2 linked regions of the Nothobranchius furzeri genome follow. The protein of the gene in region 1 interacts with the protein of each later gene in a pairwise test. Links are inferred from orthologs where the notes say so. Each region holds a gene or a part of one and is shown in the gene's direction. Other genes may lie near its edges.

Evidence for each region.
Region 2: the proteins of tcap (region 1) and ttc19 interact in binary tests that used the Homo sapiens proteins (3 or more experiments, as listed by UniProt). The link is inferred for Nothobranchius furzeri from reciprocal best matches to the Homo sapiens genes TCAP and TTC19.

Annotation. Positions count from the first base shown.
Region 1 is NC_091745.1:14,198,751-14,202,081, reverse strand, and holds tcap (telethonin), read left to right. Parts: upstream 1-1,385; 5' UTR 1,386-1,608; coding exon 1,609-1,757; intron 1,758-1,867; coding exon 1,868-2,258; 3' UTR 2,259-2,759; downstream 2,760-3,331. UniProt on the Homo sapiens protein: Muscle assembly regulating factor. Mediates the antiparallel assembly of titin (TTN) molecules at the sarcomeric Z-disk.
Region 2 is NC_091751.1:33,600,197-33,604,450, reverse strand, and holds the start of ttc19 (tetratricopeptide repeat protein 19, mitochondrial), read left to right. Parts: upstream 1-1,273; 5' UTR 1,274-1,335; coding exon 1,336-1,409; intron 1,410-1,584; coding exon 1,585-1,730; intron 1,731-2,435; coding exon 2,436-2,509; intron 2,510-4,019; coding exon 4,020-4,130; intron 4,131-4,235; coding exon 4,236-4,254. UniProt on the Homo sapiens protein: Required for the preservation of the structural and functional integrity of mitochondrial respiratory complex III by allowing the physiological turnover of the Rieske protein UQCRFS1.

The DNA of each region.
Region 1 (3,331 bases):
CTGTACCTGCTTATCCACGCAGGGTTTCGGGGGGCTGGTGCCAGCAGTCTCCAGGCAAACGGGTGGGGTGCACCTTACAGGTTGCCAGTTCATCGAAGGGCCACACAGGGACACACAGGACAAACAACCATACACACACACACACTCACACCTAAGGAAATTTTGGAGAAACCAATCAACTTGACATTCATGCTTTTGGACTGTGGGAGGAAGTCGGAGAACCTGGAGAGAACCCACGGGGAGAACATGCAAACTCCATGCAGAAGGACCCCAGGCCAGGGGTCCTTCTGCATGACCTTCTTGCTGCTAGGCAACAGTGCCAACCACTGCGCCACTGCAGCCGTTTATTTAATATTTTATTTTATCAAAACATGTTAAATGATTTATAAGATATTTAGCTAAAAACGCACAAGCAAAAACATCATTATCCGCGTTCCTCCTTTTGACAGTGAGCAGGACGTAAACAGGAAGTCTCTTTAAATGACAAAAACATGTCACGCTGATTTTCTGACCTAAACAGATGACCTTTGGGATGCCAGCGGCTGCTTTACACCTTTTTTCTCACCGTGGCAGCATTCCTGTCATGTTGTGTCAACTAGCTGATAAGTTGCTAAGAAACAGGTGAAAACGTTTTTGCACTTGGCACGAAAATAACACTAAACCGCCATCTCGAATGGTAAAGACATGGAAAGATGATAAAAAGAGATGAGAATAAGTCCCACAATGAGAGGAAAGAAAGCGTGAGGTTTGTAAGAAGTCTAGATGATTGGTGTTCCTGCCTAACTGGTCGTTTAGATGCCTTATTATTATGCTGTGTGTGTGATAAGTGATATCTGTGTTGTGATGATGATTTCAGTGCCCCATGTGGGTGAATGAGTCAGAGACAGGGACTGGTAGTAACATAACACCAACACATAACTGGCAGAGGTGAGTGTGTCTGTGTGTGTGTGTGTGTGTGTGTGTGTGTGTGTGTGTGTGTGTGTGTGTGTGTGTGTGTGTGTGTGTGTGTGTGTGTGTGTGTGTGTGTGTGTGTGTGTGTGTGTGTGTGTGTTTCGGTCAGTAACCCAAGTTGCTAACAGCTTGAGTGGTGCTCTGTCACTGAGGTAATGAATCACACGCTTTGGAGCTTTGAAAGACGTCCAGCGGAGGGGCTGGTGTTGTCATGAGGCCCGGTTGTTTTTTAACGATAAAAAATGATGATTATATCATCTGAAATGTCCTTATAAAGCGGCTGCTGTCCCGTTTCACAGCTGAACATACAAGTTTATCATACCTCTATTCATAGCGCCGATTGTTCTGTCCCCTCTGCGACCGCCGCTGAAGTGGGCTGAGTGCTTTCAGAAGCCAGGGGGATTTTCTGGCCAACCACCCTTCAACTCATCCTCAGTTTGGATTCCAGCTGTCCGGGAATGAACCGCGGAGTAGTCGGTGTCAGATGTCAGTACACACTGGAAGCAGAATGACAACGTGAATCAGAAATAGTCACGGGGCGTCTATAAAAGCTGTGGACAGATCGCTGTGCCACTCAAACACTCTGAAGAGAGAGTCTAGACGTCTCAGAGAGAGAACCAGCTTTCAGGAACCCAAGATCCCCAGACAGTAGAAAACATGCCATTCTGCAGCATACTGGAGAAGAGTAACGGCATGGTGGTGGGAGCAGAGCTGGCCTGCAGCATCCGGGAGGAAAACACGGCTAAGAGGGAGAGCTACAGTGCTGACTGGCACAGCGTTGATCTGAAAACTCAACCTCAGGACAGGTGAGACACCACATGCTCCATCTACTCAGTGGTTTGTACTGAGATTCCTCTTGTTTTAACCTTGGAGTGTTATTAAGTCTCTAAGTTGAACTGTCGTCTGATGCCCACAGACAAACCATGAGCATGAAGGACGACTCCCGTAGAGAGACCCTCTCCCGGCAGTGGCAGTACCGCTCTCTGATCCAGACCTGCCCCTCTGGTGTCTTCAGGGTGGGCACTGTGGAAAGAGGGATGAAGGAGCACCAGTTGCTGCCAAAGAGACACACCCTCCCCCTGCCCATCTTTACCCCAACAGAGCTGGGTGTCAGGCTGGGACGTGGTGCCCCGCACACAGAGCACGACCTGCAGCCCTTCCCCACACGAGATGGGGTCTGCCCCAGCAAGAGGAGTGTGGACGAGATCACCAGAGACCTCCCCCCCATCAAACCGGTCCTCATGGAGTTCACTAAAGCCCCCAGAGCTCTGGGTCGCTCCATGTCACAGGAAGCCCAAAGAGGCTGAACGGAAAAGATAGAGGCGGAAAAAGAAGAGAATATGTTAGCTTGTTTGATCCACTTGTGAATGTGATGCTAGCACTAGTGCACTTTTATTGTGAAAAGTGCAAGTTTAACAGAACGATGGCGATGCAAGTTATCAGAAAGAAGGTTGAAAGTGTTTGAAGGGCAAGAAGGGATGGATGGAGTGGTATGGTGATGAAACGTGATGTTTGGGTTGGTCACCTCCCAGGAGCTTCTGCCAGTTCTGTATGGAGAGAACAGAATGCACTGGCACCATCACACACTGCTGCTGTTCCTGAGTGAGTGTGTGTGTGTAGACTGGTACCTGTTTTCGTCTCGCTTCATTAACTCATTCTTCCTGTTAGCTGAGTGGCAGCTGCTGTCTGATCCTGACAGCAGACACAAGTTTGGCTGAGATCATGAACAACTTTTTAATGTGTGAAATGATGATATTTGTTTATTGGAAATGAAATATTTTTGCTAATAAAACTTTAAGTACTCATAATTTCCTTGTCTTCAGACTTGTTTCTGTGATATTCTTGAAAAACCCTAAATTAGGTTTTACGTAGAGAAAAACAAAATGACTACAACGAAGATGAATGAATCACCCATCTTAAAGTATCTGAGCAGCTCCCTGTTAAGTCCCACTTTAGTCTGATGTGGAGCTGACGTGCTGGCGCTGCAGTCCGCTTCCAGCATGTCTTCTGCATGGTTTAGATCATGAACACAGCTGATTTGTTTAATTCAGTGATGAATCCCTCCTGATGAAGGCTGGGGAGACAATTAGCAGTTAGATTAAGGTGTTAAAAAGACGAACGTACAGCAAGAAGAGGAGATTCACTTTTGCTTTCACTAACAGACACTAGGGGGCGATAAAGGCAAGCCAAAACTGCCTACTATCCCTTTAAAAGATCAATTTCTGGTATTTTTTCAATAATGTCTAAAGCATCAAAAGTAATTGAGTGAAGTGACAACAAACAAAAACAAACTTTATTCTAAACTCCTTTGTACGTTCAATCTGTCTTTTTTAACACAGTTTATTAAAAGTAACAAAGTAATGAAAAACAACTTTGTGAG
Region 2 (4,254 bases), on another chromosome or scaffold:
GGTCTCATGTCCAGACCAGACTTAGAGAAACTTATTCATACTTTTATTTCTAGTCGGCTGGACTACTGCAATGGTCTCCTAACTGGTCTTCCCAAAAAAGCTGTGAAGCAACTGCAGCTTGTTCAGAATGCTGCTGCTAGAGTCTTAACAATAACTAAGATAACGGAGCACATCACTCCTGTTCTTAGATCTCTACACTGGCTACCAGTAAACTACAGAATAGACTTCAAAGTGCTCCTACTAGTTTATAAATCACTCAATAGCATGGGACCAAAATACATTTGTGGTCCCCTACACACAGCCTCCTGAACACCCAGATGGTCTGTTACATTTAACTTAACATGACTACAGGAGTTTTCAAGAAACTCCTGAAGACCCTGCTCTTCAGAGAGCATCTTCTTAACTAGCACCTTGCCTGCACCTGTCCCCCCTCTCTACTGTCCACTCCTTGTTCCCTACTCTCCATGACTGATGTCAATGCTGTTGTTGTTATTGTTGTTGTTTGCCTCAAGGGCAAAATGCTGATTATCACTTGTAAGTCGCTTTGGACAAAAGCGTCTGCTAAATACATAAACATAAATATTTAAGTTCCTGGCCCTGTTCAAGCGATCTGAGTGGCTAAACCTGAGGGGTGTGGGGTTGGGGAGGTTAGATTGGTGCTGCAACAGCAAAGACACGTCACTGTGGGTCTGAACAAATGGCAGACGGAGGCCACCTTCTACGGGGAGCCCGAGCTGCTCACTGGGTTTCATCTCACAGGACATGTGAAGGTTTTAGCCTGTCAATGGAGACCGTCTCCCTACCCCCCCCCCCCCCCCCCCCCCCCAACATGACCCAGGGCAGGCGGTCGAGTCAACTAGCATCTGTCAAATAAATTCAAGTAAATTGTGGTCCGGTGCGTTTTGACCCCCAGGTTGTGTGCCATGGCTGACCAAAGGTCAGAGATGAATTGGGTGCTCCTGTCTGAACTTATATCTGAGGGTGGGCCAACCCGAGCAACCCAGGATAACAGAAAGGCTTGGGCTACTACTGCGGATGTGGTAGATGGTAGGGACACCATTTCTGCCACTAAATCTAAAATGAGTGAAGCAGGAGATTCTGTTTTAGACTATAGAGGCTCACATTTCAGGAGAGTGAACCGGATTGAAAAACCAGACAGATGATTGGGTACATATTGAGTCAGATTCCCAGTATTTTACTTAGAAATCAGATACACTAGTACTACTAACCTGTTGCCAACTAAAAAAACAGTAATACAAACTTTCCAATGATGCTTTTATTGTGAAAGCGTGGAGTCCCACCGCCTGACTTCCTCTTATTATGTAAACAAAAAAGATGGCGGCGTCATGCATGCTTCGTGCCGTCCTTAACCGAGTTGTAAAGAGGTTCGGGAGTTCTGGAGGACACACGTAAGTTTTCCGTTCACGGATTACTAGACTACGGTCTCGGTGATACATAGCGCTAACGCGCACCTGTTCGTGGCGTCACTGAGCCGCTGCTCATGAGGGCGCATGAGTTGGTGCGGTTCTGTTCGGAACATTCAATGGTTCCGCTGAGGAAGAATGGGTTTGTGATGTCCAACAGGAAGCGTCTCATCTTTGGACACCATCTGGACTTCTGGGTAACTGAGACCAGACCAGAAACCAGCGGCGGAACCTTTCCTCTTGGTGGTGGAGGAGCAGCAGGAGGACGAAGAGGAGGAGGAGGAGCAGCTCTGTGTGCAGCGATTGGTGAGTCGGTCCAGTTTGGGTAGTGAAGTTCTGAATTTAACAGGTAGCCAATGTAGGGAAGCTAAGACAGGAGAGATATGATCTCTCTTTTTAATTCTCATCAGAACTCTAGCTGCAGCATTTTGGACAAGCTGAAGACTTTTAACTACATCCTGCGGACCTCCTGAGGGTGTCTGCTGCAGCTGCCTCTGGGCCAGATCCTCGTTGCAAATGAGAATGTGTTCTCAATCCACTCATCTGGATAAATAAAAATAACATAAATTAATAGGTCTGAATGAAAACTGGTTGCTACTCCTCCTCCTCGCCCTGTACTTCGAGCAATATGATGATTTAAATAATTAGGAGTCGACTCGTTTAAGCTAACATAGTCCTCTTGCTGCAGCCAGGATTCTGTGAGAGAGAGCAAATAGATCTGATTATCACTAACTAACTAACAAAGTCTTAGAAAACATAGACCTAATGTTCAATAACCCACATTTAATTTTTCTAGTTTTCTGCTCAGTTGAATTTCTTCTAATATTTATGAGATTTCCTTGGTTTGCTTTATTAAGCCTGATATTTAATCTGTGTGGTTTTGGCCATGGGCAGGACACTGTCTCTATGGGGTAGTGGGTGGGTAACAGTACAGAAGCTGCAGAGGGGTGGGTTAAACTACGACTCTGCTTCCTGGTCTGGACCCTGGGTTGTCTCCCTGTGTGTCTGCAGCCTTCTCCCTGTTCAGGTCTGATGAAGATCAGACGAAGGAAGATGAGATGATCCTGCTGCTGAAGAAAGCCAAGGTACCAGATCTTCTACCTGACTGCATCAGATCCAGCAGTTACAGTTCTCGTTTGTATATGCATCGTCCGTTACGGCAGAGATTGGATTACCCGATTCTCAATTAGCCACTTACTCAAGGGCCATTATTATACACCCGCCTACTGGGCGGGCCTCGGCCTCCCATTTCTTCTTCATGCTGCGCACTCAAGAGCAAATAAACGCCCAGTGGTCATCAGATTTCTGCTTCATCTGAAAGACCTGCTCCTCCTGGCTCACTCCACAGCAGAAACAGCAATCCAAAAGGGAATGTTGGAAATCCTAGGTCATTTATTTTCCTGGGCGTGGAACCAGACTCCTCCCTCATTAGAGCCCGTCTCATACGAGATCTCTGCTGTGATCTTCCATGTAACACCTGACAGAACCGTCATGGCTCTGTTGGCTATGAGACCTTTGGGCCTGATGCTGGTGGCGACCCCAGTGGTTCTGCTCGGCTTGAACTCATTCCAGTTCTTTCTGTCTCTAACTTTTCTATTTTGGGCTGTAATTTCTTCAGCGTGGCCCAACACCGTTCTGACGTCCACTCAGATCCTTCGGCTGCCGTCCACTGAGAAGAAAATGTCACACCGATCTGTCTAGTTGTTCCTGAGTGTGGACTCTCACGATGACGGCGAGGAAGGTGTGGAACTTTGAAGATGAACATGACTTGCTGCCATTTCTTCACATTCATGTACAACTGATGAAAACACAAACAACAAAGTGGGAATTCTTGTTGCAAGTAGTGATGTATTCATGTCCCCGATCAGTGGACTGTGCATCTGCTCCAGCCCAACCTTACTGCTGCAGACATCTCTGGACCTGCAACAGCAGGGGGCCCAGTGGTGCTGTGACTGGCAGTCTGGGTGGACCACTTTTACAATAGGGAAAGAAAAATGAGCAAGCCGACCCTCCCTTTTCCAAACCAACAGGGTTGGTGGAACTGAGATTTCTGTCAGCGGGTCTCCTGCTGCGTGAATGCACGTTGACTTTTTACTCGTCATCATCGTTCCTCCTGCTGCTTGTTGGGGAGGGATTTATCTGGGTTTTGGCTAACTAATGTGTTCTGGTGGTCAGTGTGAACCATTCAGAATCAGACTACATCCAGCCACGCCTTCGTCCCATGCCTTGCCTTTAAGGGTGAAGCCTTTATGAAATAGAAGAATGGTTACTGACTGTGACCCCAGATGCTATGAGTACAGGCGTAGCCCCTTCAGGCAGCGAGCCTCGCTGGTTCCTGTAGGTTCAAGAGCCTTTGGGAGACGAATGATGGATTCACATCCCTTTTATACCAGATTATGGCCCACCTAGTAGGTGGGCATATATTGAAGGCTCTTCAGTAAGAAGCTAAACGAGGATTAGGTTACCAATCCAGCCGTAAAGCCATATGTGTGTGTGTGTGTGTGTGTGTGTGTGTGTGTGTGTGTGTGTGTGTGTGTGTGTGTGTGTGTGTGTGTGTGTGTGTGTGTGTGTGTGTGTGTGTGTGTGTGTGTGTAGCTCAGCATACATCGTGGACAGCTGCAGGCAGCCTCCTCCTTCTTCCATCAGGTTCTGGTTCTGGCTCATCAGACTCACAACAACCAGGCCATCATCTATACCTATAGTCAGGTAAATCCTCACCAGTCCACCTGAGGAAGAGGCCACACCCCCTCTGGAATATGTGTACTACACATATGTACAATCCAGCAATACTGTTTTTTCTGTCCTGTTTAGATGGCGAACTTGGCTTTCG